4 linked regions of the Rhinolophus ferrumequinum genome follow. The protein of the gene in region 1 purifies or fractionates together with the protein of each later gene. This does not show direct contact. Links are inferred from orthologs where the notes say so. Each region holds a gene or a part of one and is shown in the gene's direction. Other genes may lie near its edges. The genes, in order: HDAC2, BCL11B, DDX5 and RREB1.

What was found.
Region 2: the proteins of HDAC2 (region 1) and BCL11B purify together in Homo sapiens (affinity purification with mass spectrometry; 4 studies listed by BioGRID and IntAct, with this or other methods). This does not show direct contact. The link is inferred for Rhinolophus ferrumequinum from reciprocal best matches to the Homo sapiens genes HDAC2 and BCL11B.
Region 3: the proteins of HDAC2 (region 1) and DDX5 purify together in Homo sapiens (affinity purification with western blotting; 3 studies listed by BioGRID, with this or other methods). This does not show direct contact. The link is inferred for Rhinolophus ferrumequinum from reciprocal best matches to the Homo sapiens genes HDAC2 and DDX5.
Region 4: the proteins of HDAC2 (region 1) and RREB1 purify together in Homo sapiens (affinity purification with mass spectrometry; 4 studies listed by BioGRID and IntAct, with this or other methods). This does not show direct contact. The link is inferred for Rhinolophus ferrumequinum from reciprocal best matches to the Homo sapiens genes HDAC2 and RREB1.

Annotation. Positions count from the first base shown.
Region 1 is NC_046286.1:65,450,338-65,458,215, reverse strand, and holds the start of HDAC2 (histone deacetylase 2), read left to right. Parts: upstream 1-4,863; 5' UTR 4,864-5,147; coding exon 5,148-5,199; intron 5,200-7,878. UniProt on the Homo sapiens protein: Histone deacetylase that catalyzes the deacetylation of lysine residues on the N-terminal part of the core histones (H2A, H2B, H3 and H4).
Region 2 is NC_046289.1:4,906,920-4,914,441, forward strand, and holds the start of BCL11B (B-cell lymphoma/leukemia 11B), read left to right. Parts: upstream 1-4,517; 5' UTR 4,518-5,530; coding exon 5,531-5,588; intron 5,589-7,522. UniProt on the Homo sapiens protein: Key regulator of both differentiation and survival of T-lymphocytes during thymocyte development in mammals.
Region 3 is NC_046304.1:42,882,577-42,890,037, reverse strand, and holds the start of DDX5 (probable ATP-dependent RNA helicase DDX5), read left to right. Parts: upstream 1-4,458; 5' UTR 4,459-4,566; intron 4,567-4,758; exon of another isoform or gene 4,759-4,951; intron 4,952-5,201; 5' UTR 5,202-5,336; coding exon 5,337-5,380; intron 5,381-6,605; coding exon 6,606-6,771; intron 6,772-7,128; coding exon 7,129-7,225; intron 7,226-7,316; coding exon 7,317-7,450; intron 7,451-7,461. Other genes in the region: CEP95 (centrosomal protein of 95 kDa), read right to left, coding at 1,146-1,253, 2,624-2,752, 4,278-4,296. UniProt on the Homo sapiens protein: Involved in the alternative regulation of pre-mRNA splicing; its RNA helicase activity is necessary for increasing tau exon 10 inclusion and occurs in a RBM4-dependent manner. Binds to the tau pre-mRNA in the stem-loop region downstream of exon 10.
Region 4 is NC_046292.1:86,823,887-86,830,848, reverse strand, and holds the start of RREB1 (ras-responsive element-binding protein 1), read left to right. Parts: upstream 1-3,952; 5' UTR 3,953-4,044; intron 4,045-6,962.

The DNA of each region.
Region 1 (7,878 bases):
GTACGCAGGTTAGCAGTGTCTCCAACATGGTGAAGAAGTCTCCTCACTTGGAGGAAAGTTACAACCAGTACACTGTGCAGGTATCTGCCTATAAACCTATTTCATGGTATTTAGCCTGCAAATCCCTCACAAATTCCTCCTCATTAACAGTTAATAAAGTGGAGGGTCACTTAATTTCCAGTTAACCATACAATCTGGTCGATGTGCTTGCTACGAATTTTCATTAACTTGCCTCAAATTCAGTAACTTGGTTGATAAGGCCCTCATCCTTACTTTTTCAGAAAGCTCAGTCCCTCTCAACATGCTAGTCTCATGAACAAAAACTGTCAAGAAATAGGAAGGGGCTGAGATTTTACCCTATGTGCAAGCTAACAAGCTAGCCAGCCACAGTTTCATAGTTGCTAGCATAAGGCACAAGACTCCTGGGTTAAAGACAAAGGATAATTTGTCACTCATGGCAATAGCAGTGACCAGAGTATCAGTATTATCTTTTGTGCTGCTGCCTTGAGTCCCAATTCCTGCAGGCTAAGAGGAAGAGGGTCAGATGAAATCCATACTTGCAATGGATTGCCTAACAGGAGAGGAACCCTGAATTTAGGGAACCTGAATCTTTTATTATGGGTGGCATGCATGCCTGCCCTTTGTTTCACAGGGAGTCATTTTCTCTATCTTCCAAAGCTGTTCACTATACAAACATCTTTGATCAGATTGTTTGGAACAAAAGACATAAAGTACTTCTGCTCTCAGGAAATTCAGAAACCCATGGAGAGTTGTGTCCCAACAGACACCTGTAGTCTCTTAGTAAACATTATCAGAAGCCACTAACTTCTAATTCAGATCTTACAGAAGTTAGGATTGTATTCAGCTGCATATAACAAAATCCTGACTGTAGTGGTTTAACCAAATGTACTGTCTGTTTTGGTTTGTTTGTTTGTTTCCTGAATAAAACCAGAAGTCCAGAGGTGGGCAGTCAGGTTTGGTACAGATATAAAGGAGGTCTTCAAGGAACATGCTCCCTATCCTCCTGTTCCACCATTCCTGTTATTTGGCATTCCTGTTGATGGCCCCAACATACTCCACCTCCATTTGCACAGTTCTGGTGCTCAGTGGAGAGGAGTGATTACTAGATTTAGTAATCACTAAATTTAAAAAATTTTTTTTAGTAAGGAAAGTTTAAAAATTGAGATAGGAAAGAAGTATTAAGATACATATATAGGATGATTAGGAAACACCAGTAAGTTAAGTTTTCCCAGACACAGTGTGCGTATAGAATTTTACTAAAAAGTGGGTACACGGAGATGGATTGAATCAAAGTAATACTACAAGGGTCACGGGCAAAGCATTTATCAATTAACAAGCTAACCAGGGCAACTTGAAAAGTTCAATGTAAATGAGTAATTTAGTAGATGAGCTGTGATTCAAAAATATTTTTTAACGAAAATGGGTGATTTTTATTACACAAATGCAGTTAAAATAGCACTAGAATCTTCACAGTTTGGTGCTACTATCCAGATTTAGGAGTTACAGCTTGTAATAAATACTGCGCAAAAATAGGCACAATTCTTCTGAGATCAGAATTCAGCTCAAGGCTGTTGTAGTTTGTGACAACACTGTACTGTTAGCTACTACACTTCTCTACATTATGTATTGCCTTGTGGAATTGCTAAATAGAACTTAACACCAAGAAATCTAAATTTCTTTAGAGTAGAAAGAAGCTTATAATTCTTTTATAGCAACTAAAACTTGACCTATCTGCTGCAGTTGATAGCAGGGTTTAATTTTTCGCGTAAGCTGAGACAATCCGTTTCTAAATACAGTCATGCACCCCATAACAATGTTTTGGTCAACGAAGGACCACATATATGACGGTAGTCCCGTAAGATTATATGGAGCAGAGAAATTCCTATTGCCTAGTGATGTTGTAGTGCAATGCATTACTCATGCGTTTGTAGTGAGGCTGCTGTCAACACACCTACCGCATTGCCAGTCACATCAAAGTATAGCACATACAACTACCTAGTCCCTAATCCTTGTTAATGATGATGATGAATGACTGTTACTTGTTTTTGTGTTTACTTGTGTACTTTTAATCATTATTTTAGAGTGTACTCTTTCTACTTATTAAAAAATTTTCTATAAAACAATATGCCAAGTTATGCTGGCAGCAGCTTTCATACATCTCATGTTTACCGCGTCTCTTGATTGCATCATTTCTCTTGTGCTTGATTTAATCTCCTGTCGTTTTCTACAATAACATGCTGTACAGGCTTGTATCCTAGGAGCAATAGGCTATACCATGGAGCCTAGGTGTGTGGTAGGCCATACCATCCAGGTTTGTGTAAGTGTACGCTAGGATGTTCCCACACCACGGAATTGCCTAATGGCTCATGTCTCAGACCCTATCCCCATTGCTAAGTGGTACATGACTATAGTCCTATTTCTAAATAATCCATTTATGTTTAACGGATCATTTCACTGAATAACCTCAGAAAAACTAAACATCTTCAAGGTTGGGAAAATAAGTTCATATGGACAGAGCAAGAACTAAAGAAAAAAAGTTTAAGAATAAAGACAATCCTCAATTATGCATTTTATGAATGGACCACGCTATCACTTTGTTTTCTTCTGTATATTGTCTAAAACTCCCTTTTTTTTAAATGGTAAAAATGTTTAAGAGAGAAGAGTTTGAAAATGGTAAATGAAGTTCGGAGCTTGTCAATAGGTTCAATAACTGATTCTACTTTTGATGACCTAAAGGTCATTATAGATGTTTAGGGACATAATGCTTGTGGCCTGCTCTTATCACTGGATTAAACTCCTCCAATGCCAGCTTCCAATGGTAAAATGCTTCTTTTGATTTAAAATTATTAAATAATAAACAATATAATAAGTTCCTCAACCAATCAAAATATGTGTCCAGGTTCTTCTCACAAGTAAAAGGTTAGGTGCTGTGGATGCAAACAATAATTATTACTACCATTATTATTAGTAATCATAATAATCTCATATTCATAGCTCTTTATTTCTTAAAACTATTCCATATTTATTTTCTTATTTAAACTATTCAATATGTATAAAATAAACCATTCTCCAAGTAATACTGCCCTATTTTACAAGTAAGGCAATTCAGAAAAAAAAGTTTAAGTAACTTGCCCCCAGTCATAGACACTAGAGATACAATTCTGTGCAAGACAGACATGTTTCCTCCTCTCCTGAAACTCTAGTCTAATGAGAACATTAAGAGAAGTTTTGGGCAACTATAACATGGTAAATGTTGAAGTAGAGGGGTACAAGTCACAACTACAATGTTAGGGGCACAGAAAACAGACTTGGGGGAAGGAGTAAAGTCAGCTCCCTGACTCAGCTTCACTTTCTTCACTTTCTTGAGTGAAGTCTCATTTCAGACTTCACTAAGTTGATTCTGAGAAGAACATTAGTTTCTACTAAATTAACCTATTCTATTCTTAGAATCTACCAAGCTGATTTGGGACTTGATACAATAGCAAAACTTTAAAAGTCAATACCATGCAATTAACTCTACTACCTCTAAGCTGATGTTTCTCACACTGTGCTTCCGGTACCAACTGCATCAGTTACCTGCGATGTGCTGTTTAAAATACAGAATTGCGGGGAGGGGAGGAGGATTACGGTAGATTTCGTTTCCTAAATGTCTTCAGGGTGAGGTCCAGGAAAACTGCTGTTTTAATGTGACCACGTTGGGGATTTTGAAGTCAAATAGTAAAATAAAGGGGTATCTTGGGTGGTGGCTCCAAATGGTTCCCACTTCAATAAGGCCTTTTTTCTTTTAATGAGGGTGTTGGAGAGAGTGTGCATTTGGAGAAAATTGTAAATGATATAGTTGGGATAAGAGTGCTTACATGGCAGACTGTCAGACCCCCACTCCTTATCTGAAAGGTGGTTGGCTTAGAGTAGCTGCTTGATAAATGTTGACTTGTTGAACACAGGGACACAGATATTCATAACTTTTCCAATCTTTTCTCTTAGCTTTCTGCCTCAGACTTCCAGTGCCCAGCCAGCAGCACTATAGTGGAGTAGCTAAAGTATGTGGATTTGGGAGAAAAACTGAATTCAAACCCCAGATCATCAACAGTTGAGACCACCAAGTTCCTCAATCCGTACGTATAAAGGAATAGAAATATGTCTCTGCGTTGTTGCAAGTCTCAAATGACTTAACAGGTTATTTATTATAAATAGGAATCAATTAAATACATTATAAATGCAATGGTTAGACCCGAGCCTAACACATAAGCGAGTTCCATAAATGCTCCTTCAAACCCAGGAAGTACACTATACTCCTTGACGTCTGTGATACGTAGGTTCCCTTAACAGGTCAGAACCTCAGTGCAATTATTGGTACAAAAAAAAAAAAACCACAAATAATAAATGAACAAAAAGAAAACCGAGGTGACCCAGTACAGAAGGGCCGTGGGGGACAGACTGGAGGGTCGTGGATTCCGGAAGGGTACCAAAGTGGTCTCTCCCCGCCTGGCTTACAGCACGTGGTCGGTAAGGGCGGGAGCTTCGCGACAGTGGGGGATGGGAGCGGCAAGAGACAACTCGAAAGGGGTCTGGGCGGCCAAGGCTTCGGTTGGGGAGGCGCCGACTGCGCAGGCTCAGGATAGGCGCAACCACTGTGCGAAGATCTGAAGGAGGGAGCGTTCCCCCACTCCAAGTTCCTTTTATCTACTTGAGCGAAACCCTTCCCTTTTTTTTCACTTTACAACTGTATTTTCCACCACCCTCTGAAAGTTGTTCACCAACAGAAGGGCTTTTATCCAAAGACTGAAGAGCGTTCTTTCCCTAGTTTTGCCCCTTCCTCCCCGCCGCGGAAGACAACAGTGGACACGTCCCACCTCCCCTCCGCGTCCGGAGGTGGTTTGACTTACCCCTCCCCCTCCCCAGTGTCGCGAGTTGGCGCCGCTGCCACCCCTGCTCCGCGCTTTCGGCCCTTCGGCCGGGCGGTACCGAGCCCTCGTGGCGCCCCCTTGTCTCCTCCCTCCGGCCTGCCCTTCCCCGCGGGACTGCCAGCCCCCACCTTCGCCCCAGTCCTTTTTTTCTCCCCGCCGAGTCGCGGCGGCAGCAGCAGGAGGAGCCGGAGCCCGGAGGCGGCGGTGGCCGGGGAGCCCATGGCGTACAGTCAGGGAGGCGGCAAGAAGAAAGTCTGCTACTACTACGATGGTGAGAGGCCGGGCCGGCGGGAGGGTGGGCGGGCAGGGCTGGGGCGCCAGGCCTGGAACCACGCCGGGCTCTCAGGCCGCCGTCGCGAGTGGGCGCCAGTGCTGAGGGGTGGGAAGGAGGAGGGACCGATGTTTGGCCGCATCTTAACCCGTTGCCGACCCGACGCTGTTAGTGGGAGCCCCTCCGCCGCTAGCGGCCCCGGGGGACTCCGCGGCGGTAGCCAGGTGGACGCCCCACTTTTACCTCCTGCCCCTCTCTTCAGCAGTGCAGTCCGCCGCCTCTGCGTCGGCCTACCCCAGCTTCATGGTGGTAGCGACGGGGACCGCCCTCCCTGGCGTCTCTCACTCCCGCCACTCTTGGGAGAGGACATTAGGGGGTGTCCTGCTTCGGCCTCCTGCACCCGACCCCTCCCCCCAGGTCGAAATATCTACCCCGGCCCAGGCTCCACACAAAGCCCGGCGGCCGCGAGAGCTCCGCCTCTTCAGTCCCCTGTGCTTCCCACCCCCATCCGCGCTGCTTTCTACCTCCCGCAGCCCCCCCGAGTCTGCTAGTCCTCGTGCCTTCTGCGTCCTCCGCCTCCAGCCTCACCCCGGACCCCTCGATCCGGGTCAGTGCTGCAAAGTAGTTACTGAGGGTGGTGGCCCACGTCCGGGTGAGGACACCCACTGGTGTTTTGCATGGGCTCCATCCCTCTCCTTTGTTCGCCGGGTTCTTTGAGCGCCACTTTCTCAGCATTCAAATGAAAAGGCTTCACTTCCTCAATAAAAATTAGGGTTTTCGAGTTTGAGGCAGTCTACGCGGGAAATACGACGTTGGTAGGGAAAGGTGGAGTTGTTTCTGCTTGTTTTGTTGATCAGACTCGATGGGTCTTGGCTTGCCTCTGAGAGGTGGTTACCACCCACTTCTTTGTTACTCTTTGTTCGATCAGGAAATACCACCCTGCTTTGGAGGTTTAGGAGAGCATTGGCATCTTGCTTGTGAAAACTGTTTCTAGGTGGTGGCAGTCCTGGTGTAGGAAAACTTTGAATAGTGCAGAAGTTCTAAATAATCAGGTAAGCTTGAGCTCACGTTACATATAGTAAGTAATAAAAGTCATTTTAATTTTAGGGGTGTTTTTAATTTGGAGTTGGAACAGTAACATTAAATCTCTGAATCCTGTTTCCTGAGCCAGCCTAAATGAGACTAAATCGAGTAGTCGCCTGTTCTACAGATTTCAAAAAGACATTAATATGGTAAAATGGTTATTAGTAGGTTACTCTCCAGAGAAGGAATTCTAAAATTTAACAAAGCTAGGCTTCACGACCTGAAAGTCCTGTCTAATTTGTCTGAAGCAGTACAAAATTTGGAAGCTGTTTCTTACTTATAGGTGTATTATAAATTACAACATCTTAGGTGGAAAGACCTTAGGGGACTGAGTCAGAATAAATTTGACTTTAATTTGAAAACGGCCATACTATATCAGTTCAGTTAGCAAGGATGAATCTTTTAATGCCTGTTTTTTAAATAAAATAACCACCTGTATCATTTACGGAAAAATGTAAAATCTTAACAGAAGAAATCCAAATTATCTGACTTTTTGGAAGCCAGTCCAAAATAGTAACAGCCATGTTTTAAAAATATTTTTTGAGAGGACCCCATTTATGTGTAATACAGATTGGTTTGAAATTATGCCATCGTGGAGGAGTGGAAAATGGGATTACATTTTAACATTATTAAAGTTTCTTATAATTCATTCTTTAATACTTCATGCATATTTTGGGTCACTTGTAAAACACTGGTCTTTGAATTCCTTCATCAAATTGGAAAGTAAATAACCAGGTATGTAAGTTAATTTTTAAAACTTGTTTCAAAGATTTAAAGATTGGTTCTTGTTGGAGCTTGGGGTAAAAGAGAAAGTTATAAAAAGGTTGGGGTAACTAGTGCTAAGACTCTTCCTGAAGCTGTTAGTTGCTGTTGACTCTGATAGGCTCTGATGAAGTAAGCTGTTTGTAACTTCTTGTCACCAAACTTGAACTGTAGAAAGAGGTACACTTAAGTAGCAGTTAAGTGTACAGCTGCCCATTTTTGGACACATTTATGATGAGCCTTTGTTGAGGGAATGGGAGCAAGCACTGGTCCCAAGGGCAGGATGCAGGATTGATAGGTAGAGTGGAAATAATTCAAGCCTGGTGATTGTGACTTAATACTTTATTGTAGACCATTCAACTGCTTTACTTGATGGCCAACAACAGGTGTATAACTGAATGTTTGGAAATTAATGATTAGGTTTACTGTCTTTAGTCTATGGTTCTTCCTTGGCTCATTTGTAGAATGGAATTTGCAGTTGCTTATATTTGGAATATTTGGGTTGCTGGGAGGACTAATAAAATATTTTGCAGAGATTATTAAATTGAATAGGCATCATGCTAATTATTAATATGTGATAGTATGCTAAGCTCTGCACATTTAATTACGAAAGTTTACATTTTTATTACCAAAACAACTATTTTGTCAACTTATGTATAAAAGTAGCAGTAATGGTATCTTTCTTTTTTTAATTGTGAAGAAAGAGGATGCAAGTAAAGCAGCTTCTGCACCAGAGAATTCTGTGACTCGAAGGTATATAACATGAATTAGATTGGGAGTGCGTAGTATCAGTAGTAATAGGGCCCAAATAATTTGCTAGGCTAAATTAACTAG
Region 2 (7,522 bases), on another chromosome or scaffold:
CTGATGACAGGGACAGAGCTAGGAACATTCAATGTGGGTGTGAGTCTTTTTCATATACGAAGAGCTGGGTGAAGCATTTTTTTAAGGAAAATAATACATGAATCAGGAACAGTGACTTTGGTTTAACCCCTTGCAGGCTGCAGCTGTAAAGGCAGGAGGCAATGGTGCCTCTTAGATTTCCTAGGACGTACCTATGCTTTATGTAGTTAAAAAATACTCGGAAATCTATGACCGTATAAAACCCAAGTATTTCTTGCAGAAATAAGGTACAAATGATGACGTGTTTTAACAGAAGCAATGTTGCAAAATTCAGTACCTGGAAAGAATCAACCAAGCAATTGTTGGGAGGCAGGTTTTGTGGTCCTACCTTTGCTATGAGATAACAGTGCAGAAAAGCCCCTCCAGATCCAGCAAAGCCTTAATAGAGTGCTTCTGGCACTTAGAAATTTGCTGTAATTTTCAGAAATGACATCAAATAATTCTAGAAGATATGCCAGGAAGCCCTAAAGACCTCTTTTGTCTTTTTATGCTTCTGGATTTGATAGCTCCTAGAGATTCTAGAACTGTAAGGAAGGAGTTAAGAGCCATCTTGGGGGCCTTATTAATGTGTACACAAATAGGATTTACTTAGTGCCTCCATTTCAGTTTCCTCAAAAGTTAAAACAAGTCAATCCACTGATCAGATCGATGCAGTTTATTTATCCTTCTCTTCTCAGTCAATAGCGTTTATAGATCCCGAGGAACAGAAATTAGCAGTTTGCTTCTGAGTCGGCCCCACACCTGTAAATGCCAAAAGATTCGCGTTCTCTTTGCACAGCTTTTCTGCAGAAACATTGGGGGTTCCCATTTCAACTGACACTACCCATCTCAATTCTTTCCAAATTTTTGTAAAGACATAATATAAAATATAACAGCTCAGAAGGCAAAGATACCATTACAGAATCTGGTACAGAGCCCTACCTCAGCTAAGAGTTAAGTTATCCGTTGGTTCAAAGAATTTTAAACAAGAAGCCTGGCTGGGGGGTCATGTGTCTGTATCATCTGCCCCCACTGCATGGTGTGTTATATGTAGCACACATAGGGAAGCAGAGCCCCACACGTTAATAAAAATGCATCCTGATTTGATGCATTTCTGAACTATTCTTCTACAAAGAAATTTAAAGTGATTGAGAATATGGGGGATTATGTGCTGGAGTGCAAGGTGAAGCTAGAAAAAGAAGAGCAGGGAAATATTTGTGAGTTCAAAAAGCTTTTTGACATCTTTTTTTTTTTTCAATAGTACAGAAAATGTAGCATTTCTTTCCATCTAATTTCAGTTTGCACAAAGCCCCAGCTCGGGGCCCAGCACACAGTAGGCCTACAGCAGGTGCTGGAGAAGTAAGTGTGAAGTTGTGTAATATTTAGGACCATATGTTCATCTGCACTTTTTCCTTTATGTATTCACATGTTAAGCACCTGCACCTCCCCTTCCCCTTTTTGGCCAACGGAGTGACTTTTATTCTAAACAAAGGATTGGTAGTTCAAGGGGTGGTGTGTGTGTGTGTGTGTGTGTGTGTGTGTGTGTGTGTGTGTCCAGAGTGACCTTCTCAGAAGGGACTGGATCCTCTGTCTGCCTGGGGTCTTGAGGAAGGGGTAGGGATCCGGCTGTGGCCCGAGCCCTGCCACCCCTTCTGGCCCGCCGCCTGTTCTCTGGGCATTAAGAGAGTGGAGAAATTTTAGTGTGGGCCAGCTGCCGAGGCCGGGAGGGGTCGAGGGAGAGGTCAAGGTCGGAGGAGAGGCGGCTATTGATCCGGTTTGGAACGCGAGACTGGGAGCGCAGCAAGACTAAAGGGGGAGCTGTGAGACCAGACATTAACAGCTTTCAGCGCTAATGACGCCCGCGCCAGACGGGCAGAGGGAAAAAAGGGAGACTGGAGCGGCAGCTGGGATCGCTCGCTGCCTGCTCCCGGCCGCCTCCCGGGAGAGAAGGAGGAGGCGGAGGGCGAAGGGGCCAGTGCTGGGCTGGGCAGGGCCAGAGCCGCCTCTCCCCGGCCGCCGCGAGATGGAGCGCGCTGGCAGGCGGTGGCGTGTCCGGCCCTGCGCCGGCCCGCCCGCGCGTCCCTCTTCCCGCCGTCGGGGCAGTGTGGGGCCAATGAGGAAGTGCTCCGCGGTCAGTCGCGGCCCGCGCCGCCCCCTGCCCGCTACTTCCTGCCGGGGGTGGGGCGGAGGTGCCCCCCTCCCCAGACCTCACCGCCTGAGCGCGCGGGAGGTGGCAGCTGCAGCCCGGCCCCTGAGCATTCTGCGCAGTCTGCTGAGAGTCCCCTTACCTGAGGGGGTTGCCCCATTACCTCCAGCCCAGACCGGGTCCTCTTTCATTGTAATCAGCCCTCGTTGGGCAAGGGTCGAGGGTCGGGATTTCGCGCGCGGGGGCGCAAGGGGCGCGGGCAGCAGGCGTGTGGAGGCGATTTGAGTCGAAAGCTACCCCAAGGGCTGTGTGACCTTGGGCAAAACGCTAAACCGTTCTGGACTTCACAACGCCAAGTCTCAGAAAGAGCTGCTTTCCCAAATTTAAGAATCTGCGCGACTCGGGATGACTGGTTTATAGTTTTCTTAAGAAGTTTATTAAAGGTGCGTGTGGGCATTTTTTCTTAGGCCACTTTCCTGGAAAGATTTTAGCGGTGGGGCGGGATGGGAGGAGAGGGAGGTGCTTCTAGACTTTGGACCACGTGGAGATAGGGTGAGAGTTGGGGCGGTGGGCAGCTGCGGGCAGTCCCCAGGGAATCAGATCCCTGATTCTCCTGGGGTGGAGAGTGCCGACTGGCCCTACCCCACCCCGCTCCACAGCCCAGTCTCCACCCGCTCGGCCCGCGACCCTGCAGCCTATCCGCAAAACTACATGCTAGGGCACATTTTATTATTATTTTTGGGGGTGGTTTGGACAGGGAGCTCTTTCTGTCCTCACTAATGGGCGCTGCGCTCTGTTAAGTTGTTGGTCCCGTTGCCACACCCAAGACCTTGGGGTTGAACAAAAACCCCGTGTGCCCCCGAAGGAAAAGGCCCCGAGAGAGGTGGCGCGCCCTGAGGCGTCACGGCCCAGCCCCTCGCTCGGATGAAGCCAAGGGAGCTGGGCCTGGGGGCGGGGTGGGGTGGATGCAGCTAAGCTCGCCCGCCAAGCCCAGCCCCGAGCCAGGCCCCGACCCGCCCTGGCCGCCTTCAGGCCCAGACCAGAGAAACCCTGAGAAGGGAGAGCGCTCTAGCTGCTTGGCGCGCCCAGCCGGGGAGGTCAGGTCTTCAAATAGACGAAGTTGGCCGTGGACTGGGGAGGGATCCGGCTGGGAGGGGCGATGTCCACGCGGACCACGACTTGGCCTTGTCCCTGGGCCACGGACAGGCCCCCCCAACTCCACTTGTCCTCGCCGGGTGCAGAACAAACGGCTGACAAGGCAGCTGTGTCCTTTCCAGTCAGACCGGCGATTTCAAGTCCTACCCTAGGCAGAGGAGCACTGGGTGGGTGTGTGGAGGGGAGGGCAGGGGGAGGCGTTACTACCAGGTTGCTGTAATTGTGGGGGTGGGAGGTAACAGGGGCACCCGAGTATCTTCAGAGATCCGGCCACACCTACTTCTGGGTCAGCACGTACAAGTTCCTCTCCCACATGGAGAGCCCCTGCCCCGGTACCCCAATGCTCCCCGCAGACCCTGGCCTTAGGGGGTGGGGCCCGTGTTTGACTCTCCAAGTAGTTAAAGGGGTGAGGTGGAGGGAGCGCATTCGAGTGAAGACTCCTCCGGAATGAGACTCAAACAAGGTCCACGTTCCTCCCCCCAAATGTGATCTTAATATTCTCCTCTTAGTATCTTTATTTAATGTTGTCCACTTCGCTTTCCCAGAGTTTGTAATGCCAGGATTTATACAGAGACACTTTTTGGAAGTTTAACCCTGATCCCCCAATAAAACAAAAAGTACAAACAACCAAGTGACTTTTCCTGGGTGATGAAGCAAGTGACCATCTCCCCCGGTCCCTGCGTCCACTCCAACCCTCTTGCACAGCGTCCCCCTGACTCCAGCCCCCCAAGTCCCACAGCTTTTGGTGGGTGGCTGGGAGTTACTGGCGTTGATTCAACTTACTTCCACACACAATGTACTCCGCCCCCCTTCTCAGGGGGTCCTGCTCCCAGGAGGGGAGGAGGGACAAGAGAATTTTCTTTTATTGAAAAATATCCTGCCCACCGGCTCCCCCGCCCCCCTTTTGCGCTGCCCGTGCACGAGGAGTAGATGAGTGCACAAAAACGCCGTTTGCAAGTGTGGCCGGCCTGATCTGCGGGTGTGCGCACGGGCGAGTGTGTGTGTGTGTGTGTGTGTGTGCGCGCGCGCGCAAGCGCCGCGCGCGAGCGTGTGTGTGTGTGTGTGTGTGTGTGTGTGCTTTCTTGTTCTCTTACAGGGTACAATGTTAAAAAGCCACCGCTAGTCGCCCCCAGTGCTCCGACTCTCTGGGTCTTTTTGTCTCTGGTGCAGATTAAACGTCACGTCCGCACTTGAACTTGAATTTTATCCCATTGTACAGAGGCAGCCCCAGCCATAGAGAGACCGAGAGCTCCCAGAGAACCCGGACTCCGCCATCTTCACGTTGCAATCTATAGCTCCCAGTCCGCGCCCGCACCGACCCAGGCGCACTGGGCTAGCCGCCCCTCAGCCCACCTCCCCCCGGGCCCGCGGCGCCAGGGGAGCGCTGGGGAGCGCTCGCGGGGACCCGGCAGCCTCTCCGGCCGGCGCCAGCCTGCCAGGTGAACTGGGAAGGAGCCGCTCCTGGAGTCCCCCCAGAGCCTCGGAAGGGTCAGTCTCCGAGAAAAAAACAGGCAGCCCGCAGAAAACCCAGAAACAACCGAATCCGGGCAGTTTTACATTGCTTTGGGTTTTTTGAGGGGGCGGGGTGAGGGGGGTACGAGACAAGTCCCCAAGTTTTCTTTGCTTTTTTTTTTTTTCTTTTTCTTCTCTTATTTTTTATTTGTTTGCATTTTTCTTTCCCCCACCCCCCTCCTGGTAGAAGTGCGCTTTCCACCTACCAGACCCTGAAAGTGTCAGGAGCCGGTGCAAAATCCGGTTTAAGTTCAAGAAGACATTTGGAAGTCCAGGAGGCCACGCAGTTTGAAGAAGTGCAAAGGATTTTTTGCTTTCAAAAGAATATATATTTTTTAAAGAAACCAGCCAGTCCGCGGCAAGCAACAGCAGATTTTTTTTGCCTCTTTTTCCTATTTTAGATCGAGAGGTTTTTATTTTCTTTTTCTTTTTGCAAAACAAAACAAAAAACAGCATAGAAGAAAGAGCAAAATAAAGAAGAAGAGGAGGAAGAGAGGGCAAGAGAGGAAGGGGGAAAAAAAAGAAAAAAAACCAAAACACCAACCCGGGCAGAGGAGGCACGGCGGCGGCAGCAGCGGCAGCGGCGCGGCGGCGGCGGCGGCGGCGGCGGCGGCGGCGGCGGCGGCGGCTCCGACCCCCACCCCAGGCTCCCCCCATCAGAGCAGCTTTCCGGGCGATGCCAGAATAGATGCCGGGGCAATGTCCCGCCGCAAACAGGGCAACCCGCAGCACTTGTCCCAGAGGGAGCTCATCACCCGTAAGTGTCTGCGGCGTAAGCGCGAGGGGCCGGAGGATGGGGCTCCGGGCGCCCGGGGCTGGGGACACCGAGCCGGGCTCAGCTGGGCCGGGTGCCGGGGCGGCCCGCGGGCTCCAGAGGCAGTGCGTCGGCCCAGAGCCTTGTGGGGGGCGGGGGGCCATAGGAAAGTTTCTTTGCAGCCCCGGGAGTCCGGGCGCTGCGCAGTCAGACGCGCCTCCGGCTCGGGGGCCTGCGGAGCGGGTGCCGGGCGGGAGAGGGGGCGCGCAGGCTGGAGGAGGTGTGTGTGTGCGCGCGGAGCCCGGCTGGACGCTCGCCCCTCCGAGCGGCGTGTGTGGCGGCGGCGGCGCTGGTGGCGGGGTTTGGAGAGGAGGGGGAGGGGGCTGGGGGAGCGGAGGGGGAGGGGGCAGCCGGGAAGTGGGGAAAAGTTGGCGAGCGCGTGGGTCCGTGCTGAAGGCTCGGGCGGAGGAGAGCGGGGTGCGCTGTGGAATGCGGGAGATATGGGGAAACGGGCGGCCGCCGGCTCCGAGTCCCCGGTAGCTGCACCCGGCGGGGCAGAGCGCCGGCCACACCGGTCCTAGGCTTCTGCAGCCGCCTTTCTCTCCCTTCCTCTATTTGCAAAAGAATCCAGCTGCAAGGCCGTTTGCCGGGCTCATGCACCCCCCCGCATTTCCCCACCTCCGCTGTCTCCTGGGATGATCCTGTCTTCTTTCCCCCACTCCAAAAAAGGTGGGGGTTTGGGGGCTGGTGAAAAATACCCGCCACGGGGGAACAAGGGTTGTCAGCCAGGAGTGGGAAGAGAGGGATGTGCTTGTAAAACAGTAGTAAAAAAAAAAAAAAAAAAAAAAAAGAAAGAAAAGAAAAAAAGAAAAAAAAAAGAAAAGGAGAGAGACCTATCAATCTTTTACGCATCCTTCTGTCTCAGTATCTTTCATCTTCTCTATCTAAATAAACAAGGCAGGTCGAAGTGGAAATCCACCGGCTGGGCTGGAATCTTGTGGATTTCAAGCCAGTGGCGGGGCGTGCAGTCAGGCAGCAGGGCAGAGACGCAGCAGCTTCCAGCGCCCCAATTGGGTTTATTTAGAGAAGGGAGAAAGAGAGCGTAAGCAGGCCAGGTACGGGGTGTGCAGGGGAGCTCGCCCCGGGTGCCCGCATAGTTGCACCGGGAAGGTCGGCTCGCAGCTCTCCCTGCCGGGCCGGCGGCTGCTTCGCCGCGCTCGAGCATTTCCCCGCGGTCCTTTCTCTTGCGGTGTCTGGGTCGCCGCTGCTATTTTTTTTATTTTTATTTTATTTTATTTTATCTTATTTTATTTTACTTTATCTTATTTTATTTTATTTTATTGCAATAGAAATAAAGCATCCTCTGGGTGCCATCGAGACCGCGGTGCAGGTTGTGTTCCTGCAATCCTCCCATCACCTAGTCAGGCTGGGGCCGGGCTGCCCGCGCGGAGCTGGAGAGGGCTGCGCACCCGGTCGCCGCAGAGGACTGGCTGCGGGGCAGCCGAGAGCCGAATATTTATGTTATATTTTTAAAAATTTAAATAAATAAATAAATATATAAAAGGGTTCTCCCCTCCCCTGAAAACCCGCCTAGGAGCCATCTGCTCGGAGCAGTTGCTGCTGCCATCTCTCCTTTGTTACAGCAGATACATTAGTAAGAATTTGTGGATTTATTATTATTTTTTGGGAAGGGGAATAGATATTAAGTGGGGTTCACCTTGGGAGAGGGATGCCTTTTTGGAGGGAGGGAAGAGGACTTCTTTTTTATTTTTCACCATTCTAACATGAAAGAGGACTCGCTGGTTGCATTTAAAACAAAATGTTTTGCAACCAGATTTGAGCCTGGTTTGATCAAGGTTCTTCTTTTTGCCAGTTGACATTTGTCCTTTACCAATAATCGCTTATTCCAATCCCATCCCCACCTTTAGATAGTGCAG
Region 3 (7,461 bases), on another chromosome or scaffold:
TTGTCCGGAGAAGCTCTACTGTAAGAAGTTCTATAAGCGGACACTACCTTGCCATATAGTATGTTTTAAAAGCACAAATTACCAGAAATTGCCCTACTCTGGTGATAAAGCAATTCTAAATTGCAAAAGAACAGGAAAACCCCACGGTTACCCCTCAAAATGAATCATCTCCAAAATAATTTACTACATTTATTCTCCCAAACTGCACTCAAAAACTTAAGACAGTATTTTTGCAAAAATTTGTTCTTGTCAGTATCAAATTAAGAGATGTAAATAACCTATCCTGATTAACATTTATCTCCTTTAAAGAATAAATCAACAGTATAAACCCTCTTTTAGTGATTTGAGTTTCAAGTTCCCAAGATTCCTTCTGTTCATTAGCTGAAAATAATTTATTTTGGGAAAAGGTTCAAAAAATAATTTGTAGTTTTATTTATATTGAATAGATAATCACGATTCAAAATTTAAAAATTACAAAAGGTATATAATGAAGTCTCATCCCACCCTTGTCCTGCAGCCCTTTACTTCCTCTTATTGGAGGCAACCAGTATTACAGGTTTCTCGTATATGCTTCTAGAGAGTTCTACATGAAATCTATTGCATAAATGTTCTCCCCGCCTTTGCTTTTACAAATAGTAGCATACTCTGCATATTATCATTGTAATTGCACCACATTTTTCTCACACAATATATAATGGTGATTGTCCCACTAATATGGAACATTGTACATAAAGAACATAATCAATCATCTTTTATAGTTGCACAGTAGTTCCCTGGAGCTACCATAATTTATTTAACCTGTCACCACGAATGGACACTTAGATGTTTCTAATTTTTTAGCTACTACAGACAAGTAGCATGGTAGCTTTAAAATAACAAAACAACAATAAAAAACATACCTCCAACTACCAGCTCTAGGACTTTGACTGAGATCCATCATAAACTCAATGTCTGACTCTCCCGGGAAAGCTCTCAAGGATGGCTGCCTTAACTATACATACTCAATCGATTGTCTTGGCTCAGTCTTGCCATTTGGTCTATTTCACAAGCTTACTCATTTGGCTAATTAAATAATGTCCTGGGTTCTGTCTAACAAGTTATTTTTGTAAAATGCAAAATTATCTGGAGATGAAGTATATACCAACCTGTTATGTGAGACAAGCTGACCTGCAGGTAATCCAAGGCCAGTGAATCGATTACTGCTTGTACATTGTGAGCTTCATCCTCTTGACTCTTAGGAATAGCTATGAGGTCTGTGGAGGAAAAGCTCCTTAATTTTGCATCTGTGAGGGTCCAAGTTTTCATCTATCTGTCTCGGACCAGGCTCTTGATAAGTTCAACTGCTACAAAAGTAAGCTCTGCCCAAACAGAACAGTTTTTATAAAGTACAGATAAAGTTAATAGAGCCTGAATTCCACACAGAATCTTTATTGGTTGCATATTTATTGATTGAATATGGTTGAATAAACTTATGAACATGCTCTACATTAAGTAGTACACTAAAGAAGAGAAAGAAGTCCCTAAATTCGGGGCCGGATGGCTCAGTTGGTTAGAGTGAGAGCTCTCCTCTCAACAAGGTTGCCAGTTCAATTCCCACAAGGTGGGCTGTGCCCCCTGCAACTAAAGATTGAAAACGGCAACTGGACTTGGAGCTGAGCTATGTCCTCCACAACTAGACTGAAGGACAACGACTTGTAGTTGATGGGCCCTGGAGAAACACACTGTTCCCCAATATTCCCCAATTTAAAAAAATCCCTAAATTCAAGATGGTAATACGATTGTAAGGGCAGCAATTACTAACCTATAACCGTGGGCTGCTTTCCATGAGAGAAAAACAACAACAGGTGTGAAATGAGGGTTACTGTATGTCCTTTTAAAGGGCCCTATTAAGAATTATTGGCATAGAGGTTTAAAAGATCAGTATAGACCTGAGTGCAGAAGGATTTTTAAATATCAACTTAAATTTTGAGTTCCTCCTCTGGTGTTGAGAAGATGAATGTTTTTTGGGAAGGATGAAAATGTATTTTAAAAGACTGGCCTAATAAGTACTTGTATATACCTCGGGACGCTAAAGAGGGTTGAGACTAGCATCAAAGATACCAGCTAGAGGCTATTCCATTATTCCAGGAAGTGAGGAGGGACTCATGGTAACAGTGGGAAAGGAAGAGAGACTACGTAGAGCTTATTTTGGTACATTTCTTATGTGAAGAAATGAAGGCAGAGAAATCTATGGATAAGGACTCTGAGATATTTAACCAGGGATATAGTACAAACATCAATTCTAATCTGTAATATTGGTTAAGCAACAGGGTTGCACAAGTTCCCAAGTTCCACTCAATTTTAGAACCTTTAGTCACAGAAAACGTGTGACTTTCACAAGGCATCAAACATGATTAAACAGTGACAACCAAGACCCGTCAAACTGATTTGACCAAGGCTGTTACTAGGGGTGGGTCTCATAAAGTATTCATTAAGGCAATGAATGCAATAATTAGATAGAAATAAAATGGAGACAAAGAGAAAACTCAAGATTTTATAAATACCATAGGATCTCACTTAAAGGCACTAGAAACTTCTGGGGTAAGATATAGACATTATTACTCCCACTTTTTCGCACCCTTACCTGGTACCTTTTCTCCCAAAATGGATTGATAAAAAGCAATAAAGACATTAGCATCACAATCTTCTAGTTCATGTATTCTCAGGTGTATGTGACATTTCAAAAGAAGGTTATTGGCAATGGCTACCCACTCTGTTGGGAGAGAAAAGGAAAAGGTCAGCCTTAAATAGCACTAGAAAAAGTCATAATCTGAAAAAACAAACAAAAAAAACCCCCTCACAAAAACAGACATTGAATTTTGTAGAAGATAAGGAATTTGACTTTTATAGGATTTCAAAGATCCTCCTAGGCATGATTTTTGAAAAGATGTATCTAATTAATTACTTGGGATGACTTCCAGACTGCAATAATTTCCGTGCAGTCAAAAATGGAATACAAATCTAATTTTGACTGTCGCAACCTAAAATCTTAAGTTATTTACTGTGGTTCTTATTTTACAAGCCATATGTAGGTGTTTTTATTTATAATATATTTACAGGTAAGTGGGAACGTTGTGTCCCAAACAAGATAATCCGAGGCTACTAGAAACTACTAATGGATGTTGCTTCAAATTCCCAATAGCATTAGTCATGGTTTTACCCAATTATCTTATGCAAACAATTTCTCTGGTGTCCAAATAGGTAGTGATTAACTTAGGCTGTTAAGAACTGGAGTAATGACACCAACACTACTGCACTTGTTAGTTTTTTTGTATTTGACTATATGAAAGGAAATACGGAAAGTTTATTTAAAAGTCCCTAAATCCAGAATTAGCACATTACCGATACTGTGGAAGTTTCCTGTGTACGACCCTCCCCACCCCAGATATCGTTGGAATTAGAAAAATTATTTCAAGAGTTTCTCGACCGAAGGTAATTTAGAAAACTTAGAACGTTTGTTCCCTGAAATGATTGTTGATTAAAGGTAAAGTTCCTTTATTCTGCATTCGATTGTCTTCAGTATGTTCTAGAAATGTGTGACTGTGTGTTCAAGGCACGTTATCTTCCTCTTCCCAGAAAACAATGTGTACGTGTGTGTCTCTTAAAGGCACATCATCTCCCTCTCCCCCATACTCATTTCTCACAGCTGACCAAACCATCACAACTAATCTGAACGCTGTTCTAGAGAAAAGGATGAAAGCGTCCTAGACAACCAAATCAATGCGCTTTTCAAAAGCGAGGCTAGGCAAAGCCGGTAACTCCAGAGGGCACCGAAGACAAAAATCCACTATTTTCCTTTGGTAGGGGCATCAACAGATCTTAAGAGTGCCATTCCTCCAAAGTTCAATACAGATTCCGGTACTACCTCAGTCCCCACAATGCAAGAGTAAAGAGCACTTGAAAGCGGCTAGATACCCCAGAGAAACAGGAGTCCGGGGAAGAAACTTTTTGACTGCCCTTTTTTGCAGCCAGGATGCAAGCATACTACAGGTCTCGCCACAGAGACCTTCTCTCCCCGACCCCCAAAATCGCGCTCGACGGCTTCCAAGCGGACAGCGAAGTGGGCTAAGAGACACTCCAGGTAACCTGTTACTACGACGGAGTGTGTGTCACGAGCCCCGCTGGCAGCCCAGACCTAGCTGAAGCCGGCCTGAAGTCTCAAGATATAATAGGCAGGGGCGTTCGGTGACTTGGCCCGCTTTAGTCCACATATACCGGGATTCCAGGTTGAGACTCACCAGCCTCTGAGCTGGCCATGTCGCGGAAGCAGGTCGCCGCCCGACTCGCAGCTGAGCGCGCGGGGGACGGTGTCCTGAAAGGGCCGCAACAAGCCGATACAGCGCTGAGAGGGGGAACGACAGGAAAGTGCAGGGTAGGAGGAGTGAAAGAGGGAAGGGCGTTAAAACGGCTTCTCGCCACTGATTGGTCATCAGAGGAGCACTTCCTTTCGCAACACGCGCCGAGGCGGCGGTTTGGGGGCTCTAGATACCATTCTCCTCCCGAAAGATCGCGCTAAGCGACTCTCAGGTGGGTGGGTTTGACAGTGCGGGTCACGCAACAGCCGGGGCCGGTCTCCCGGCGGCGTTAGCGCGGCATTAGCGCGGCATTTCCGGTGAGCTTTTCGTTTTGTATTCCTCCGCGGACGCCAACTGAGGAAGTAGTGCGGTCCGCTCACCCGGTGGGCGGGGTCAGCCACGTGACAATGTCAGGGTCCGCCTTCCTGTCTCGTATGGTTCTGGGCGTGAGCGCTGTTTGGAGACGTAAACAACTCCAAGTGGACCGAGTGGGTTGCCCTGTGCTGGCCATTTTATAGCCTGTGCTGGACCTGAAAAGGGCGGGGTAGCTTCCTTGAGGTGTGGAAAGACGAGAAAAAGGTGAAGTCAAAGAGAGTGTAGGCTGAGGCATTCCGGTGGTGAGTGGGCCCAGCCATGGAAAGGGCAAAAAACGGGCGACTCTAAGGGAGGGACAGTGGGGGAGGGGAGAGGACATGGCGGATTCCGGAACGTTTGCGGGCGTTGCGGCCTCTGCGCAGGGGCGGGGTGATTAGGTCATAGAGCGGCTCCCAGCATTCTCTGCGGCGGAGGAGGCGGTCCAGCCTATAAAACCGGCTGCCGGGACGCGGCCGGCACCTCATTCATTTCCATCGGTCTCTTGCGGAGCAGCTCCGGCTCCTGTCATCGCCGTCCTTCCGCCGCTGCCGCCCCCGCAAGGCTTTGCTTGCCGAAGCCACCTCCACAGCGACTCGTCGCACCAGATTCTCTCCACTTCGTTCCCCGCCAACCGCAATCATTGACGCCATGTCGGGCTATTCGAGTGACCGAGACCGCGGTCGGGATCGAGGGTGAGTGGGGGAACTGACCTGTCAGGCCCCACGGGTGGGGGATGGGAGGCCAATGAAAAGAACGAGGGGTGGGTAGCGATGGGAACTTGGCTTTTTCAGCCGTTTTTTGGGCCTCCTCAAGGGAAAGTTTGCGCCATTTTGTTATTTGTCCAAAACTGACGGAAAGATTTTTCTAGAAACGGTCCTCAGTCTCGCTTTTTGTTTGGGAGCGTCGGGGCTTCGGCGATTTAGCAGTTGTGGCGAGAATTGAGTGTGTTGTGAGGGGAGGAAAGCGCGACGCTTCGAGGAGAACGAAGTTGTCGCTGTTGAGTGCAACCTTTTGGGAGGTGTTTTAGGAGTCTCGGGGATTTTTTGGGGAGCCGAGAGGGCCGCTTCGAAAGCCATTGATGCGGCGGGGGCAGGAGGGTGGCCGGCGCCACGGTAATCGGCCATGTGGCTGAGCCGTAGGTACAAAATGCCGGCGTCGGACATGGCGCCGGCGCCTTTGTTACCCCGCCCGGCGGAGGAGCTCAAAATGGCAGCGTCGAGAAAATGTGGCGCAGAGAGAAATGCGAGACAAAGGGGGAAGCGCCGCCCCAGCGGGAACGCCGCCCGGCCGACTCCGCCCGGGCCGGGACTCCTCCCCTGGTAGTCGCCAGCTCCTCCTCCTCTTTTTTTTTTTGCGTTATATAATTTTGTTACCTTGATCGGAAGCCGTTCCGCGGTTCCTCCCTAGTCGATTGGCTTGTATAAGTGTCCCCGAGACCACCACTCTTGCTTGTTCTGCTTTCACTGCCTGTGCTGTCCCGTTATCCATTGAAACCAAAGACCCTTTGCTTGGAAACAGCTGGTAAATAACATCGCTGTTAATAAGCTCCTCCCTTCTTGTATTGTCCTTCTCTCAGACATTTAATTCCTAAGCTCGTGGGAAAGACCGGTAGCCACAAGCTGTTGTCTGTCCTTGTAATCTGAGCTTTTGGTGCTTGGGCAGCCAATTTCCGACCTGATAAATCCTGGGCTGTTTTTTTGGCTTTAATAGCGTGTACTTGGGACAACAGGGAAAAGGAGAAGGGTGCTAATTGTGGTTTGGAGAGAATGATCATCACTAAGGACAGCGCTAGGTCTTATTCCTCCAGAAGTCTTTCATCCATCTTTATTTAGCGTGTGCCAAGGAATAGTAAGTTAGAGTGTATATAAACTCCTACATAGACGTTTGAAAACGTAACTTTCTTTTTTTTAATTGCAGGTTTGGTGCACCTCGATTTGGAGGAAGTAGGGCAGGGCCCCTATCAGGAAAGAAGTTTGGAAACCCTGGGGAGAAATTAGTTAAAAAGAAGTGGAATCTTGATGAGCTGCCAAAATTTGAGAAAAATTTTTATCAAGAACACCCTGATTTGGCCAGGCGCACAGCGGTGAGTAATTTTCTTTGGCTTCATCAGGTTTAACTTAGTGACTTACAGTAAATCAAAATCTGACCAGAAAAGTGTTGGCAAATGACCAAGTTGTGGGAAATCATGCCTTTTTATTAGTTGGGGAAGAGGTGTTACTCACTTTTGGAAATAAATGGCTCTGAATTTTTCTACTTAGCATGGTAGAATATAACACAATAGACATTTTTCTGTGCCATGTAGGGTTTTCATCACATGGATTCAGATTAAAATGGCTATGTTAAAGTACCTAATCAATTATAAGATTAGGGGCTTATTGTTTGCATATTTAGTTGGAGGAGGTTGTCATAAGACTTAACCAGATTATTATTTGTTTTGTAGCAAGAGGTAGAGACATACAGAAGAAGCAAGGAAGTTACAGTTAGAGGTCACAACTGCCCAAAGCCAGTTCTGAATTTTTATGAAGCAAACTTTCCTGGTAAGTACTAGTTTTGAGTTTTGTCCTTTTTAAAAAAAATTCCCTTTTCTTGGCCTTACTGATTTTTCTAAATGTGTGTTGATAATCATAGCAAACGTCATGGATGTGATTGCCAGACAGAACTTCACTGAACCCACTGCTATTCAAGCTCAGGGATGGCCAGTTGCTCTAAGTGGATTGGACATGGTTGGAGTGGCACAGACTGGATCTGGGAAAACATTGTCTGTAAGTTTGGA
Region 4 (6,962 bases), on another chromosome or scaffold:
TAAGGATAGTGGCTGTTTTTAAGGAACTCACATAGCTGAAATGCCCTTGCAGTTCCTCTTAGAAATATTTCTTTAAGTAAGTGCTTAGTCACGGGGCATTTTATCACAGCTTTTACAATCACTCTAGGCCTTTATTAAGATGGGCCCACACACTTTATAACAGGAGAAACAGACTCGGCTGAGGCTATTTCTCACTATCTCTTACTGTAAGGCAGCACTTTACAATGCAAAGAGTTGGGAGTCAGGAAACCTTGATGCTAATCTTAATTCGGTCCTTACATAACTGTGTAACCTTAAGCAAATCCATTTTCTTCTCTGTCTCAATTTCTAGGCCTGAAAAATAAGTGGGTTAGCCTACGTAATCTCTAAATTTCTTTCTGACTCTTAAGATTCAACATGTTTGATGTTATGTTCAGTTGTTTCAAACACTGTATCTATCTACATGATGTTATTTGTAAAGATGAGAGCATATCTATTATAGAAGAGAGCAAGGTATCTGAAATCCTAAAATGTGTTAAATCCTGACTCTAATTCTCCTGGGTAAGTCATTAACATTTCTAAGCCTCAATGTCATACTATATTACAATTATTTATCTTACTTATCCATCTCTCCTAACAGATGTAACTTCTGCAGAGGGGTATTTTCTCATATTCATCTATCATCTATGATAAAGTCTCATGTCCTGCCTGGAACCTGGTAGGTACTTGATACACACTTACGAGGACGGACAATTAAATTCACAAACTCATCCTAGAAAAAGTGCTACATACCTCAATGCTGAATATCACTACGGTCACCTTCAAAGTACTCTCCTTGGAAAGCTATGCACCGAGGCCAATGCCTAGTCCACCCTTCAAAGTAATTTTGGAACTCTTTTTCTGGAATGGCCATCAGAGCCATATTACCCTTGATGTCCTGAATGTCATCAAAATGTCTTCCTTTCAATATTTCCTTTATATTTGAGTAAAGAAAGAAGTCATTGGGGTCCAGATCAGGTGAGTAGGGAGAGGTATTTGATTAAGTAAATGCAGTTATTTGATTATGGCTAAAAACTCCCTCACAGACAGTGCAGTGAGAGCCAGCGCATTTTTGTGGTGCAAGAGCCATGAATTGTTGGCGAAAAGTTCAGGTCGTCTAACTTTTTCACGCAGCCTTTTCAGCACTTCCAAACAGTAATTTTGGTTAAGTGTTTGTCCAGTTGGTACAAATTCATAGTGCATAATCCCTCTGATATCAAAAAAGGTTAGCAACATCGTTGCAACAAGTTTGTAAACTTAATTGTCAGACCTCATATATAAACAAATGGATGGGTAAGCAAGCTGAGAGTCAGAATGATTGTTCCATCTACTTTGTAAGATTATTATATGGTGAAATGAGCTCACACCTGAAAATGCATCTTTTATATTAAAAACATTAAATGTTATTATTTGTGTTTGAAACATTCCAAGTAGAAGATTGTATTCACTCATAAAAATCTGATCTTGCCTCTAACCTTTGCTAAGGGCTGAATAACATGCATTTTTTTCTTTCCTATGCTAAATTTCATCCTATTTGGAAATTTTTATATGCTTCTTTCTCTTTTTTTCTAATTAAAAGTATACTTCTATGCACTCACCATTTTTTATTTTTTCATAACAATCTTTTGGAGGGATTTTTTGGAGTAACTGGTTGATAGCTTAATGCCAGTCTTATTTAAACAAGGCATTTTTATTAACTTCTACAAATCAAACTAATGCAGGAGGTAGTGTAACAGCAACTGTATATATCAGACACATGAATTTTCTGATGACTTGTATGTTCACTGGAACCAGTTCCCTAAAGATGATCCAGATTCAGTTTCTACTGTAGCCGAATATGAACAGTTTTTTCTGCCTTTGGATAGTTCCCCAAATGATCTCTTTTTTTGTAATGACACTAAATCTAGTTTATCATTTAATGACTCCTAGTTATACTCAAGTACAATTTGAAAGTGAACATTTCCCTTAACTGTGTTCAAATCTGGCACAAGCCCTACAGCATTTCCTGAAAGGAATACCAGTCCTAAGCAATGGTGCTCACAAAAACTGGTGACTGGACAAATACATTTAGGAAAGTTTGCATGTTACAACCTTTTGTCGGTGATTCACAAACACCTTAGCACACAGAAGATTCAGAAAGGCCTTGCTATAAAGCTATATATTGCATTTTTGTGTCTGTGGTATAACAAATAAATTCTTTAACTCAGCATTTCTCAAACTTCCTTATTGTATGTACCACTAAGGAAAAAAAACCACTGCCAATAGGGCTTAATGCTAAGACGCCATCAAATATGACATCAGGGATGTTAAAACTCAAAAATAAGTGCATCTTGGAATCAATGAAATGTGGTATATGACCGCAAAGTCCCCCACCCCCCTTTTATTTTTCAAACATCATCCCTGGACATACAGAGGATCTAGTGTTCTCTGGAACACTCTAGAAAACAGTGCTCTGGTCTAGAGCTATCACAATTATTTCAGAGAGACAGAGTAAAGGCTTTTTTTTCCTATTAAGAAGTAAAAGAACTAAAAAGTTTGAATTAAAAAGAGAAGAGAAGAAATACTGGTCACCCGTTTGGGGTGTGAAATAGACCTTGTTCAGTTAGAAACTAATTTCCAGGTCCACATCAGAATTTAACTGACCAGTTGGGTTCAGTGAGCATGTAAATCTCTTTAAATTAAGATGGCATGTAATTAAATTATTCAGCCGGTTGGCACGCAGGTAGTTCACTTTCACTTGAAGTAACCGCTTTGCCTCTAAGAGGCCTCACACCCCGAAGTGACTCAACTTCATAACATCGCCTTTCAAATCTCTAGCACTTTACAAGCAATAGGCTTGGGCGTAAAGCGTCAGTAACCCTACAGTGAGTCAGATGACGTTTGTGAGTGTTGGGGGGAATTGGGAGGATTAGTAAATCTGTTTACAGGGAAAGGGTGCTGTGGACGGCCAGGCTCTTCAGGCTCCCTATGCATGGGTACACAGCCCGGCCCAAATCTGCCCAATTACATCCTCTCCATCTTGACAATCCGACTCCTGAGGGGGTGTGGGCATGACTTAGGGACAGCGTGCACCACCCCAGGCTGCCCCAGGTTCCCTATCTTCCCCCGCACGCCCAAGTTTAGCCCCTCAGACGCTTCTGAAAATCTGAACTGGATGTATCCACCTTTTTGGACGCTGGATCTGGGGGTTCCCCCAAGCTCTCCGGTCTGACGGGACCGGCCAGGGCCTCGCGCCGTCCTTCGTGCCGGGAACAAACAGCCAATGACCCCCGGAGGGCCAAATCACCTTCGCACTCGCCTTTGCCCACCACCTCGCAGCCCTCTTCCCTGCCCCGGGGCTGGTCTCCCCCGCCGGCCTTCCGCCGGACTAGGGCCTGGCTCTCCAGGCGGCGCCCCCCTTCCCTGGCCCGGAGGGGGCTACGGGGCGGCAGGAAAAACTTGGGCGAGCTCGGCCGCGCTTCCCAGGACGCTGCATCCGCCGCCGAGATGCTGGCAGCCTGCGGACGGCCTCCCGCGGCCCTCTCCTTATTTATCCACCCCGCACAGTTTCCATGGCTCCGCCGCCATCCTCCGCCCCCTTCCTCACGCCCAGCCCCTCCGGGTGGGGGCCGCGGGGGGCGTGCGCGGCTCGGGAACCGCGCGGCGTTTCTAAGCTTGGGGCGCGTGGAGGCGCACCCCCCGTTTTCCCCCTGGGCAGCTGTGCCACTCCTGCAGCCCCAGCCCAGCCCAGCCCCCTCATACTCGCCAGTACCCCGGTCTGTCCCCTGCGGGGCCCGGCGCCGGGGCCCCCAGGCGCAGCAGCGCAGCCCCCGGCCCGGCGGCGCGGGGGAGGGGCGCGGCGCAGGCAAAGTTGCTGAGTTGCTCTGCACGCTCAGAAGTTGCAGCTGAGACGACAGCTTCCCGCCCCCTTCCTGGACTCGGCGGCTCGGAACACACACCCACCCGTCACCACCCGCTACCTGCCCTCGCCCCTGCGGCCCCCGCCTGACTCGGCAGCCTCCCTCCCGGCGTCCGTGAGGAGCCCAGGTTTCCAGCGGAGGCGGGCTGGGGGCGGGAGCACCCCACCTCCCCGCTCTGCCGGGTGGGGGCGGCGATGGAGGGCGTGGAGGATCCCTTCCACCCAGTTGCCGCGCGGCCGTGGCGCTTTTGCACTTTGCAAAGCTGAACGTCTGGGCAGGTTTCGCCCGCCGGCCTCCGCGCCCTCCGGGAGGAAAGCGGGGTGTGCAGAACGCGACGGGAACTCGGCGGTGTTCCTAACCCCTCCGGCAGGGGGCTTAGCCAGGGGCGGCGGGAGGGGCTCCGCCGGGGGCTGAGGTCGCCAACAGGTGCTCGCGAGCCCACGTGACCAGGGAGGGGCCGCGCAGGGGAAGCCGGGGATGGTGGCGGGGGCCGGTTGTCTCTGGGTCCCCGGCAGAGCCCGACGGTGGGAGCACCGGCCCGCGGCAGTCTGGGGACTACTGGCGGGTGGCAGTTTCTAGCGCCGGAGCCCTCGCGGCCTGCCCAGGAGGAGAAGGAAGAGGAGGGGGAGGGAGGGGATGCGAAAGTGGGTCAGGAATGTAACTGGACGCTACGCACCCCCCACGCACCCCCTCCACCCCGGTTGCGGGCCGACGCGGCCAGAGCCAGCCTTGGAAAGCGAGTCTCTGCTGTTGTGGTTCCCCAGCTTTATCGGTGGACGGTTACCAGGGAATCCCGAGGGATGTTTCCCTGTGACCCTTTGGGAAGAAAAACTTAGTTGCCTCAGTAACCGAGTTTGGCTTGGATGCAATGATACAGTGAATGTTCTAGGTGAGGCTGACTGAGAGGAGGCTGCAGTTGCACTAGGGAGTGGATTAACTTCTTATTACTGAACCAAACGTGAAAGGAAGGCCGGTGAGGAGGTAGTTTTTTGCCCTGTTTCGTGTTCGTTTTTTACTGGTCCAGAGAACATAAACGTTTTTGCGTTAGAGTTCAAGTCTCCCAAATGCAGGCCCAGGCTGCCATAAATTTACCAGAGTTCTTAACAAACGCAAACTTGGTTGATACAAAGGTTTGAAGTTGGTATCCTAAGAGTTAGAAGGAGCAGGGCACAGTGACAGTTTTGTAATTTGGAAACTGCCTGAGAAACAAACATGAAAAGGCCTCTATTAAAAGAAGAAGAGGAAAAAAAACCCACCAAAAACCCCAATCCTCCTCAAAGCAGAAGAAGTGACAGCAGGCCAGTCAGTTCCCCCCTGAGCACAGTGGCACTTCACACCCAAACATGGGATTGAAACAGGGAGGGATCCAGATTTAAAAGTGATGGGCTTTGGGTTTGAATGCTGGTGACACAAGCAGAGTCAAGGAAAAAATAATAAAAGATGAGACTGCAGAGAGAAAGCTGAATCGTGTTGAGTTTGCAGCCCAAACTCTTCTTGAGCACTTTTCCTGAATTTTGTCCCATTGTTCCTCCTGTTGGTTTTGTCCAGTGGACTTTAGTCACAGAGTGCAGGACCAGGCTGTGGATGCAAGGCCCAAAGAAGCATGAAGCCTAAAATAGAAACTTGTGTAGCTGCTGGAGTTTCATTCAGAAGCAAAAAGGGTGTGTTACCCTCTAAAAAGTGTGAGATCTTAAGAATTATCTGAAAAGCTGACTTTGGAATTAATGTAAATTTCTGTTTCCAAGGCAACCCTAAATAAAGAAATCTAAACTGAGATGTATTTTGCATTAAAGAGTATATTTTCATAGGAAGCAAAAACTAGTAAGTTGAATCTTTATAAATTGAATCATGTTCTAAATATGTAAAAGATTATTTTGTTGAAATAATCTTTTGGATTAAGTGAAAATTTATGGAGATCTAACCATCCTCAGTTTGCTTTTATTTCTTAAACTTCACTGGGTTGTCTCATTAGTAGAATGAGAATAATAATCATAATAATAGTTGGTCTTCTTTGGGGTGATAGACTGGACTTTTTACATTACTTTCTAGATACAGGATCTTCAGTTCAACCGGCAAAAGCCATTATTTTCACTTATGATGTTTGCCTAAACTGTGGAAAAACTATAGTTGAAAGCTGACAAATTCCATACATTGAATAGTCTTGCATTCTGAATGAAAATGGCAGGGTTATACAAAAGTTTTCTGGAAGTTTGAAAAAAAAGAACATGTTCATGATCTTAGATTTTGTCACTCTGTTAAGGAACATGATTTCCTTCTTTGTGAGATAATTAGGCTTTAGAGTCTTGGTTCAAACCAGAAGAGTTGCTATAGAAATGAATTGAAAATTTAAGTTAAAAATGAAGTGGCACACTTCCCTTTTCCTCCCATCCCTTCTTCCCAACCCCAAATTTCATCTGAATTCATGAAACATTTATATAGAGGGTGATTTTATTTATAGATCATATTTATAAAGCAAATTAAATTAAGGAATTAATATCTATTTAAAAAGGATTAACAATAGGGTCCTTAATATTGTGAAGTATTCTATATTTAAAACATTTGTTACATAAATTTTTGGGCACTTTTCAAGAAATCGTCTATGTATCAGGTTTTCACATAGATTATTTTGGACAGTGCTCATTTGTAACCATTTACTCACTGCCACCCCCAAAATATTTTCATGAATGAACATATGCTTTATCTTAGCCACCTACTTTGTGTACAGAATTGTGTTCAGCACTCTGGAGATTACAGAGAAGCATATTCATGTTACTAAAAGAGTCGAGTCTAATATGGTTTAGTTGGGGACAAAACCTAGATGACGTTTAAGTTTAACTGTTCAGAAGTTAAATAGAAACACCAGTAAAAAATAAAAATGTGCATATATGTGTAAGAAGAGATGATGCATTCGTAGATGAAGATTACAATGAGTTGAAAAAGTGGAATAATGAGAGATTAAAAAAATTGTTTTCGTCTATTTATTCTCTAAGATGTTAACAATGAACCTGTATTGCTTCTGTGGAAGAATCAAAGTTTGCTTATTTT